Linked DNA regions of Bombyx mori. The protein of the gene in region 1 purifies or fractionates together with the protein of each later gene. This does not show direct contact. Links are inferred from orthologs where the notes say so. Each region holds a gene or a part of one and is shown on either strand. Other genes may lie near its edges.

Region 1 (3,687 bases):
AGATACATTCCGAAAAAAAGTAATAGTTCTCTGTACGTATGGGAAGATGACACCAATCCACGAAGATTGACCCAAGCCTCAAGATACAGACAGTTGGTCGGATGAATACCTCAAGCACCAGTCACCGTTCTCGCCGAACCCGTCGCTTGCGACGAATACTGACAAACAGGACGACCGCCGAATTCATAATAGTTCTTGTCATTTGACTGTGGAACCTTGAAAAATTAAAATTAATGATGTCGCCTTTGACGATAATTTATTCAGGTTCATTTCATTTTTACAGGGATTGAACTAACATTATCACTCAGGTTAGGGCGATGACAGAATCAAAATGTGCCCCCAGGCAAAGAATTATTTTTGTTCTTGCCTTCGAATGTTTATTTATACCAATATTAAGTTAAAATTATTAAAACATTATCTAATTGCATTAGACTGTACATCCAATATTACAAGCTGCAGCTGAAGTAAGCAAAAATTAACCAAATTATTGTGGTATTAAATTATATATTGTATTTGCATAATATATTTTATTTTCGAAAAACATTAGTACATAAACTATAATTTCAAATATACAACAATAATATTAAATCACATGATAGTTATTCGAATTTTATTCAACTCAATATTTAAATTTTGTTATCTTATTATTCCTTTACTTCGTATAACAGACTGTATTTGGTTATCTATACTGGTGTAATATTTTAATTGAGTTAGCAACTTGGTAACCCTTTTGAGATCACCTTCAAAGAATGCCGTTGATAACTGTTTTTGTAAGGACTGAATTTTATTTTTATTTTCCTCATTTAAATTCATGATTTCTTCCTCCGTTTCTGCTGATTCTACTTCTTCATTCTTCTCCATAATTTTCATAAGAAATTCTTGATCAACTTCTGTTTTTTCAGGAATGTCTTTACCTCTTAATTGAAGCATGTAGATACCTTAAATTAATTAAATAATATCGTAAAATCAATTTAGAAACTATTACCAAGACTTTATCATCACTGTTATAAAATAAATTAAGAAAATCTTGTTGTGAAGATTGTTTTAACTTTTTTTAAATGATTTGCTAATAATAAGAGATATGTGAAACATCATTCTTTTTATTCTATTCAGAGAAAAATATATTAGAAGCTTATAATAGTGTAAAGCAAATATTGCATGTTAAGAAACCTAAACATATTAAGAAAACTTAAATAAATATGTTGTAAAGCACAATGCTTCAAACAAGGCCTATAAAACTGATAATGTTGTATTAATTATATACAACTATAGATATAAGTTGAGTTTTAAAATTCATCTTCAGTATTTTGTATGTCTTGGCTTTGTATGTCAGTAACCTAAGGCTTGTCTTGAATAAAAACTATAAACAAGATTAGGATCAAGCAATTATTCCAATACAACTATAGCACATTTATTGTTTTGTGGTTGATAGTATTCATGTTGGACTCGAGTAAGCATATAATGCAAAGTGAGTGATGAGTTTTAGCTGCCTAACTAGAGTAATAAAAATACTACTTTTTCCCTCGATTTGTTTATATTAAAACAAAATTATTTTTATTTATTGCTTACCTCTTGCTAATGGTTCCAACAATGTTTTATAAGCTTCATTTACTAAGGAAGAATATTTTTCAGATATTTCTTGTTCTTCTTTGACTCTGGGAATAAAAAAGTGAATAAGCTTTTCATTAGTTCAATCGGATAGGATATATTTATATTGTAAATAAAATAAAGGTAAACCATATTTTATTGATTACTATAGCACATCGGTACAATCATGTCAAGTGGCACAGCCAAGTCCCAATATTAGTTTACAAAACTATAATCTTTCATTTAAAATTAAAACACTAAATATTGTAGAAATGTTTTATAAATATCATGATCACATTCTATAAATCATGTATTATAAATACCTATTAGCATATTTGTCTGGGTGTAGATATTTTTGCAGATCTTTGTATTTTTTAGCTAAATCATTTTCATTCAAATCATATGTTTCACTAACACCCATTATTTTGAAGTAATTGTCTTCTTTGTTTGGTTTCTGAAGGGCATTACAGTTAGAACAAAAGAGGTTCACGACCAAGGTTTTCGGGTCTTTTCCACAAGACCAACAGATAAAACGAAATTGGTGTGTTATGTACAGTTTTGTACTGTTGTTAGACAAAATTCGAAGGAAATTCATTTTAAGATTTTCTAAAACTGTATATTATGAAAGGTATTACAACATTCGAGACGGTCACGAGATTCAAATTTTATAATTTAAAAAATATTTCGCGAAAATTAAAATACTTTGTTTGTTTTCATTTAAATATGAAAAGGAGTAAGGACTTTGAAACCTTGGTATCAGCTGATAATATCCACAGATTACTTTCTTACAGTTTCGCTCCATATTATTTTTCATAAAACAGTTTTTTTTATTCCCCTTATAGGCCGACAAGCATACGGGTCGCTTGATCAGGAGTAGTTACCATCACTCAAGGATGTCAGCAATGTTAGGGGCATAGCTGAACTGGTACCTATCCCAAGAAATACAAAGGATTAGGCTATATGGTATAATGCCTTTCGCCTTTCTTGCTGGAAAAATGGAATTACTACTGTCTACTGTCATTGTCATTTCAAGCGCTCTGTCATACTCGGCAAAGACATATTTGTGTTGTTAATTTATCAGACCTCGGTACTTATGCAAAACAAATCGCATTTCAAATGTCATCTTAAAATGTACATACCTAAGTAATTAATAAATTAATATAAATAGTAATTACTAGTAATTTTAAAATCTTCCTGAGAATTGGAGACAAAATGACTTACTATACTATGGAAACATGTGGAGAAGGGACGAACTTTCAAAAAGAAATATCGAACATGATGCACGGATTTGGAGATAACCCGAACCCTAACGCTGCAACGGTACTTTTAGTAGAAAATATTGTTTTGCAACAGCTTAGGAGTATCCTACAAGAAGGAATATTTAATTCTAACTTGAGAGGAAGTAAAACAATCACTAACTACGACATAATATACACAATGCGTAACAATACTGTAAAATTAAAACGTTTGCACGATTACCAGCAAAAACTGGATCAAATCGACAACAAATCACAAGTAAACGTCACAACATCAGCCGAAACTATATACTCTAATATTATACTAGAAGACGAGAAGGATCCGACAATGAAAAAAAAGAGAACACATATTGATGTGATAAAACTAATAGACGAAGCTGATGAAGTGAGTCAGATAAAATTCGATGCGATCGATTACTTAAGGAAAGTGCGAGCTTCGAAATTAACAGAGTCAATGTCTTTTGAAAAGTATGAAGCCTATCATAAAGCTAGATGTAGTTCTTTCCGTTGCAATGGCTATGGAATCGGTAAAGGCTTTATAAAATTAGAAAGGTGGATCAATCCAACCAAGGAACTCAAAATTAGTCACTCGGCATTAGAAGTATTGTGTTTTATTGCTTACGAAACTGTGGCTGAAATTGTTGATGCTGTGTATTTGATTCGACAAGATGCCAAAAGGAAACACGGAGACCCTTTTAGTAAATATGAAGGTGGATATTTCTGTAATCCCTTAAGCTTAAGTAATGCTGTTTATATAAAGTCAGGTTATGAAGGAGTGCCTGCAATAACAGTGGCTGAAGTGAGAGAGGCATTGCGTCGTTACTTTTGTCCTATAAATGGAATG
Region 2 (4,276 bases), on another chromosome or scaffold:
TGTGAGTCCGCGCGGGTAGGTACCACCGCCCTGCCTATTTCTGCCGTGAGGCAATGCATTTCGGTTTGAAGGGTGGGGCAGCCGTTGTAACTATACTGAGACCTTACAACTTATATCTCAAGGTGGGTGGAGCATTTTACGTCGTAGATGTCTATGGGCTCCAGTAACCACTTAACACCAGGTGGGCTGTGAGTTCGTCCACCCAACTAAGCAATAAAAAAAAAAATGTTCACGTTTAGTATGTAAAGATTATTTTCCATCCAGCTAGTATCATTACTATTACAGTTCAACCCTGCACATGTTTTATACTCCATAGAGCAGGCCTGGCTAAAGGCCAGCCCGCGGTAGAATTTTTTTTGGCCCGTGAAGCATTTTATTATTATTAAAAACACAAATATTAGTTTTTGTATAACATAAATGCTGGTGGGAGCCAAAATGTTCTCCCGGACAACCCCTCTTTTCAGCGCCTCCTATTCGAAAATATAATTATGATAATTGAACAATTACAGTATGTATAAGAGTCGCACAATTTTATTAGTTATTATACTTATTATATCACATTATTGCATGAATAAACAAAATAACTTAAATCTAAAGCCGCCATTTTCTCCTGCAATATAGTAGAACGCAAGTTATTTTATATTAATTTTCATTTGGAGGAATATCTGTCCGCAATAAATTGGCAGAAAATTAAACGAAATAAAAGCATATATAGATCTACTGAGGGTGCATGCATCGTAAAACACTAAAGAAATAATGAAACTGAAACTCATGTATTTGCTTAACATATTTTTCAATTCGAAGAGTCGAACTAATTTTCTCAAAAGTTATAAAAAAATTATTAATTGACATCCTAAGCAAAAACTATACTTAAAATTAGAAAAAAAAAACTGTTTTGCCCGAGGTCAAATTTTCATCTGCAATGTGGCCCGACTATCAAAATATTTGCCCACCCCTGCTATAGTGTCCAGTATACTAATCATAAATCAACCACAGAGTGAAGGCACAAGTACAATGGTCCTAATTCAATGGTTCATATTCATTAAAATTATTATGCCACCGTGACCGTAGATAGTATTTTGCTTAATTTGTATCTGGACCAGAATATTTTCTGTGTTACACTAACTTTTCCTTAGCATTTTTTATTGCTGAGATGGATCAATAAGCTTACATGCCACCTGTTATTAAGTAATTACCAAATCCATAGTTATTCCAATAATGCATTTTAAAATTCAGTATGGTAAAATATGATGCTTTATTTAATCACAGACAATAGCTTCATGTGTGTGGTATCAAATTAAAGTACTTAGTGTCTGTAATTCATATGAAAAGAACTTAAAAAATTTGGTAAATGTTCTGACTCTTTACAGTTCCAGTAAAAAAAGTTTTGTACATATCATTACTATGTTGATAAATTGCAGTTTAACAATTAAAAACTTACTAGAGCAATGAAGCTTGACTGGTGGTAAGGACAGCTCTTTAGCAATATCTGTGTTCTTCAATTTTAGTGCCTCATCAACTGTTTTTCCTTTAACCCATTCAGTGGCAAGAGAGCTTGAAGCTATAGCTGAACCACATCCAAAAGTTTTAAATTTGGCATCAACGATTTTTCCATTCTCGTCCACTTTGATTTGCAACTTCATTACGTCTCCACATGCAGGTGCACCAACGAGGCCTGTACCTACATTTTTATCTTTCTTATCCAATGAACCAACATTGCGAGGATTCTCGTAATGGTCAATGACCTGTAAGATAAAGTATACTCTTATTATACATACTAATTTTATAAATCTGAAACTGTAATTGTTTGTTTGTTTGTCCCTTTGGTTAGATAGCAATGAATTCACATTTTCTTGAAATCGGCAATTCTAAATCCCTTAGTTAGTATAATAATATTTTGACTAGCTCAGTGAAACAGTTGCTGGCACTCTTTTTCCACTAGGGCGAAGATATTGCATAACTTAAATTCTCACATTAGACAATTACTTGAAATCTCAATCCTTAATAGTACTTAGGATGTATCCTTCTTCTTACCTATATGGTTGTAATGAAAGTGTATTTTATTTGTAGTTGAAAATTTTATGGTGAAAAATTTGTAGGTGATGAGATGACACTACAAACATACATGTAGAAAAAAAGGTAGTGGATATTTCCATCTAAGTATTATTTTTATTTAAGTAATTTACTATTAAAGTTGATTCAAATAATAAATTTTCGATCGAATGTACATTCTGGATTGTTCGACAAAAACTTGACACTCGTGAGGCTTATTTTATTATTTAAACAGCTTAAAGAGCTTGTTATAAATCTTAAGAGAAAATGAAATTATAAATGTATACTTTCCAAAATTTATACAATTTTCGATTGCATGTTGCAAGAAATGTCTAAATTTCGAAAATAATTTCTAATCGAGAATGGTTCCGGGAGTTTATTTTAAAAGACTCTTAATTAATTATTAACATTTTAATCGGCCGACCATTAGCTCCTACTCGCTTTTTCTGATGGTCAAGGTTTTTGCCAAAATTACGTCGCAAAGTAGAAAATCGATAATCCTTGACATTGGCAAATATTTTTGATGCATATAGGTACTTACGTTTGCATGATAAGGTGCCGCAAGAATCACATTAGGACTTCCAAAGCCTTTAAGACACATACATCGACGAATTCCGTTGATTAAAAAAGCCATTTTATATATTTCAGAAAAACAAATTCAGATGATAAACGTTCTTATATTTTAGACGACGTAGTCATAGATTATACACTTATTATATTTGGACGTAGTTTCAAGTTTTCAAGTATATAGTACTATATAGTTGGGTTTTTTTTAAAGGGATTTTGTGACCTGGTAACTAAGACCTTTAAGTCATGTCTTATTTTAATTTAAATATATTCATATTTTTATAAAAAATGATATTATGGAGTGAAATGAAATGAAGATGATTAATTTGAGACATTAATAAACTGGGATGAAATTAAATGAGATGATTTGGGATGAAATATAATCTCAGTAAAATGGTGGTCATTTACTGAGATTTTTTCAGTGGACTTTTTGGAGGATCCCGAGAAGTTACGTTCAGTGGCTTTGTTTCATTTCCCCACATTTGTGCACTTTCACAAATATTAAACGATTAATAAACCACCGTTATTACACATTTAAACCTGAAGAAACACTAAATAGACAAAATTAATAAAAAAAAATCATACAACTTCACTCCTCGCGTTCCCGCCAAAAAAGACCAATAATAGGTACCGTAAAATGGGGCGATTAGGGATCGAGAGGTGATTGGGGAAAAAAACAGGAAAATCTTTCGACGCGCAATACTAGTTTTTTAATCGTTGCAAAATCTTCCATTTTTTGTAGTGTAATAGTAGAATGTTGAAAGTTCACAAAACAACTCTGAATATGCATGATAATAACTTATAAAAAATCGTGTTTCAAATTAACTTTCTGTGGTGGTAATTATTTTAGTGCTAGAAACTTTGTTCTCTTTTATTTATTTTAAAATAATAGAAGAGGACTGTGATTTATAAACGCAAATTAGTGTTTGAACCATCATATATAAAATAAATAAATAAATAAATATTTACTAATAATCACGCCACGTTAACTGGTCCCGTGATAAGTTCGTAAAGAACTTGTGTTACAGGTACCAGATAACGGAAATAAATGTAAGATTTTGATTATACACATACATATATTTAATATACAACCATAACCCTGGAAAAGACATTTATATTTATCATATAATAATCTTCCCTTGGCGGGATTCGAACCCGCGACCACCTTGTGTAGTGACCATGTCACTTACCACTACACCAGACGGCCGTTATATTAAAGGTAAGTCTCAGTTGTTATTGGTATTAATGTATTTGATAAAATAAAAATACATGTAAAAATCTGTTGTTTTTGGGGATATTGGGGACGTCTCAGGTACAAATAACAACGAAAAAGGGGTCGATTGGGATGAGAATATGTGAAATGGAAACGACCTAAGTATAAATAGGTACAGGTTTCTAGGGTTGTCTATGTAATTATAACAATATTTTTTTTAATTGTTGGTAAGAATCTGGTTTATTCATGATGTTTTTGTCTACAACTTTTATTCAAAATTATCAATGCAGTGTTATTTTATTATGTGGCAAATATTTATATTATCAGTTACGCGTTGTTTTCTATTTTTAGATATGCCTCGCGTGTACGTATCAAAGAGTGCAAATCCTTATAAGACATATGATCCCTTAATATTAAAAACAGTAATAGAAGCCTATGAAATTA
Region 3 (4,112 bases), on another chromosome or scaffold:
ATAATGTATATACATAATTTAGGAATCTGTCATCGTCATGTAGACGTTTGTCGTTAAAAATAAGATTCCCTCAAGGTTCGTGACACAATGACTGGTCGTCTGAAGCTTGGTCCAGATTTCCAATTACAAGGTATAATAAGGTACAATATCCTGATTTTTGTCTATTCAACGGTTATGATATCTGAAAATGGTTCAATTTATCAAAACTATCAAATAATTAAGTACTACTTTGTGATAATTACAACCCTTTATAAATGTTACTACAATGTTGTGCTAACATAAATATAATGACATATTTCTTTGTATACTTGATATAAGAAAATTAGATCAAGAGAAAGTATATTGTCATGAAATTTACTAAACGACATGATTTTGATGTAAAATGGGGTAAGAACTCTGGGCTGGTACCGAGTGGTATAGACATAGGGAAATGCATTTAGCTTTCTTCTGACTGGGTATTTTATGGTCTAATGGTATTATATAATGGCTTCAAATCATAATATGCAGGATATTGGTTCAAAATTTTGTGGTCTCACAGTGTGTCCCACTACCAGTAAATTAAAATGAATGGAAATACTGCTAATTTTACTATTGACATTTTTTTCATTAAATTGTAATCTTCATATCCATTATGTTTTATTTAATATAATATTTCTATATAATTACCAACTACGAAATTATATTATATTTAAAAATAATGATATCATATTAAAATATTCAACTTAAGCATGGGCTACTACGATTCACATCCTGTGAGCTCTTATTAAACCAAATCCAGCAGTAAAATCCAAATGGTATTTTTGTTCAGTTCAAAACTGTTCAATTAGGCAAGTAAGACCAAAGAAGCCATCATAATATAGATGTTAAGAGATGTGTCAGAAAAATACTCCCAGCTTTAAGAGGTGCTAGGTTAGGCTACTAATTTGAGAGTTGAACAAAGATGTAGACAAACATTCAAATGTTTTCATTTACATTAGTCATTTGATTTCAGGGAATCAAATATTTTAGTTCAAAAAGTGATTGAATTTTACTTGAACATTAACATTAAAATATCTTTACACTTAAATATAATTCCTTTTTTCATAAATTGTGTAAAAATAATCATCAAAAATTTATATTCATTTCATTTTTATATATATTTTAAGAGGCAGACCAGATGGTGAGTAGTACATGACATAGGCCATAGGATAGACACCAAAATGAGATTTTAATGTTTAAAATAATATCAAATAAGCTTTATTATTTAATTTCAACTGAGCTTGTTTGTACATCATTTCTAATTTTATGATGTTTATGTAAAGAGATAACCAATGGAAATATTTTATAATGATAATATAGGTTGAAGTCAACATCATTAAAGCACTCATTAGCTTTTGTGCAGCTTTCATTAATGTCATATTTTACATTTAGTAAACTTACTCCTTAACATTCACTCAATTGTAGCTACAGTTAAGATTTCAGCCCTTGAACTACAATATCATATTTACAATTTGTTTATTAATTGCTCGCTGTCTGCTTCTGCAAGCCAGCAGGGTCCATTATAGGTGGCTGCTTCTTAACTATACCCGAGAGTAAGGTTTTGATCTGGGCAATGGCCCGGCCTGGGTTCAGACCTTTAGGGCATGTGCGAGTGCAGTTCATGATTGTATGGCAACGGTATACCGAGTATGTGTCCTTGAGTTTTGATAAACGTTTCTCAGTGGCTTCATCTCGGGAGTCAATGATCCACCTGTAGGCCTGCATGAGGACAGCAGGGCCTAGGTACTTATCTCCATTCCACCAGTAGGACGGGCAACTCGTCGAACAGCAAGCACATAGCACACATTCATAGAGACCATCCAACTTGACGCGGTCCTCTACGTCCTGGAGCAATTGAGTCTCCTTACCTTTAACAGCTTCATTTTCACGCTGCAGCCACGGCTCGATAGACTGGTACTGCCGGTAAAAGTTGGTCAGATCGGGGACCAAGTCTTTGACGACGTACATGTGAGGTAGAGGATAAATCTTCGTCGGCTTGGAAATGTTTTGATCGATATGGCTGATGCAGGCCAGAGTGTTGACGCCGTCGATATTCATCGCACAAGAACCACAAACGCCCTCTCGGCACGAACGTCTGAAGGTCAGGGTTGGGTCTACTTCGTTCTTAATCTTCAGCAAAGCGTCCAATACCATAGGTGCGCAGTCGTCCAAATCCACTTCGAAATTTTGCGTATAAGGTTTCTTGTCGGGCTCATCGGGGTTCCATCGATAGACTGCGAAGGTCTTAACACGTTTTGCGAGGGATGCTGACGTAGCAAACGTACGCAGCTGCCCGAAGGTACCAGTCGTCAGCCTAAGCAAAGGCATTATGTAATGCTTAAATCACAATAAAAATATTTAATTTACACTACGTTAAATGGTCTAGACTCGTGGGTTTCACGGTCTAGCACAATCGTACAATATTAGCGTTCGTAACTTGTTTTGTTACTATTATGTCGAGTCGATTTATACCACCAAACGATAATCTTTTGAATGCCGAGTAGTGAATGGAAATTTTGATCGTTTGACATATTTGTTACTTCATTTTGACATTTTGTTTAATTCATTCTATTCGAAAGGCCAAGGGAACATAACTATTCTATACGACAAAATTATTTTTTATGAATTTACCAAAAGTTCGATGGATTATTGAAAGATCGATTTACTGGTGGCAGGACATGTTATCAGTACGCATGGGCATGTACTACCACCTTGGCAATTTCTGCCATGAAGAAGTATTGCTTTTCAGTTTGAAGGGTAGGGCAGCCGTTGTACTGTAAACATGTGACCTTAGAATTCATGTCTCGAGGTGGGTGGCGGCATTTACGTTGTAGATGTCTATGGGTTCCGGTAACAAGTTAACACACATCTAGCAATAAAAAAAAAAGATCTCGAGAAACCTTGTCTAGTGATTTGTTTTATTTTATCAACTTGTGCACTTTTATAGACGCTAAATCAACCGGTTAAGCGACAATTATCAAATGTATAAATCAGAGCAATCAGTTACAAGACAGAAAACAATATAACTTGATACGTTGCATTCTGAAAAAGTATTGCGGTCTGGCGGTATAGAATATTAATTAAGATTCATTTGCTTTGACAAGATCTAAATAGATATAAAAATATAAAAAATAAATAAGTTTTAATTTTACAATACTGTCTATTATTTTATGTTTCCTGTTTGTGTTTATTCAAAATGTACATTGAACTTACAATTAATTCACAACATGTCATTGTGACTATGAGCTCTTCTTAGTTTTTAAGCTAACAAAAAAGATGTCACCACCTACTTTGAGTCATGCCTAAGTCTCAATTGTATAAATACTGTTTGTTCTCCCCGCTACTGGTTTGGTTGGCATCCAATTCGCATTGGAAATAGGCAGGGTGGTGATATCTACCCATGCGGACCCACAAGACGCGGGCTTCCACCACTAATTACACAAATTAGTATTTTTGCGAGTTTGATTATTGAGTGGATTTGAATACATGCCTTCAACCTTTGAATATTTTCAGTGAAGAGAAGAACTTTTGATTTAAAGTACAAAGCTATAGTTTTCGTTCAATTTTGACGGCATTTTATGGAAGAGTAGGAATACTATGGTTTTTTTCCTCTACCTATTCGCTGATAGCTTAGGGGGCTATTTCAGATACGCCCGGATGGAAAGAAGAGATGGACGTCAATTTTATAAGATGACACTGTTGTCTAACAAAAAACACTGTGTAATCTATGTATATACTTATCTGTCAGCTGTCGTAGGTAGGTAGGTGTAGGTAGGTTAAATTGTGTTTTAGCGGGAAGTAAAAAGTAGTGAGAGGAATTGTTATTTTGTAAACATTACATATTGCGCGTTGAAAAAATTGGCGAATCCTTTATAAGAATAGGTACGACGTAAATATTATTTAGTACAGTTAAAAGAATTCGATTAACATTGATATAATTTTGATTCAAATATGTAAAACTGTCAATGAAATTATGAACATCAGTAACTCCGTACCGTCAAATAATAATGACTCCCCCAAACCCAAAACTCCAGGTGGTATAAGCAAATCATTACTTACGCCCTGCAGAAGAGTTGGTCTATCCCGTAATTGGA

What was found. The genes of interacting proteins can lie anywhere in the genome.
Region 2: the proteins of iron-sulfur cluster co-chaperone protein HscB (region 1) and iron-sulfur cluster assembly scaffold protein IscU purify together in Homo sapiens (affinity purification with western blotting; 3 studies listed by BioGRID and IntAct, with this or other methods). This does not show direct contact. The link is inferred for Bombyx mori from reciprocal best matches to the Homo sapiens genes HSCB and ISCU.
Region 3: the proteins of iron-sulfur cluster co-chaperone protein HscB (region 1) and uncharacterized protein LOC101746165 purify together in Homo sapiens (co-immunoprecipitation; 3 studies listed by BioGRID and IntAct, with this or other methods). This does not show direct contact. The link is inferred for Bombyx mori from reciprocal best matches to the Homo sapiens genes HSCB and SDHB.

The regions. Positions count from the first base shown.
Region 1 is NC_085122.1:7,115,262-7,118,948, forward strand, and holds iron-sulfur cluster co-chaperone protein HscB, read right to left. Parts: upstream 2,366-3,687; 5' UTR 2,183-2,365; coding exon 1,911-2,182; exon of another isoform or gene 1,898-1,910; coding exon of another isoform or gene 1,884-1,897; intron 1,656-1,883; coding exon 1,570-1,655; intron 939-1,569; coding exon 637-938; 3' UTR 501-636; downstream 1-500. Other genes in the region: transcription initiation protein SPT3 homolog, read left to right, coding at 2,800-3,687.
Region 2 is NC_085129.1:12,109,147-12,113,422, reverse strand, and holds the start of iron-sulfur cluster assembly scaffold protein IscU, read right to left. Parts: upstream 2,801-4,276; 5' UTR 2,687-2,800; coding exon 2,594-2,686; intron 1,746-2,593; coding exon 1,365-1,745; 3' UTR 1-1,364.
Region 3 is NC_085132.1:953,369-957,480, reverse strand, and holds the start of uncharacterized protein LOC101746165, read right to left. Parts: upstream 2,801-4,112; 5' UTR 2,347-2,800; coding exon 1,498-2,346; 3' UTR 1-1,497. Other genes in the region: myb-like protein X, read left to right, coding at 3,992-4,112. UniProt on the Homo sapiens protein: Iron-sulfur protein (IP) subunit of the succinate dehydrogenase complex (mitochondrial respiratory chain complex II), responsible for transferring electrons from succinate to ubiquinone (coenzyme Q).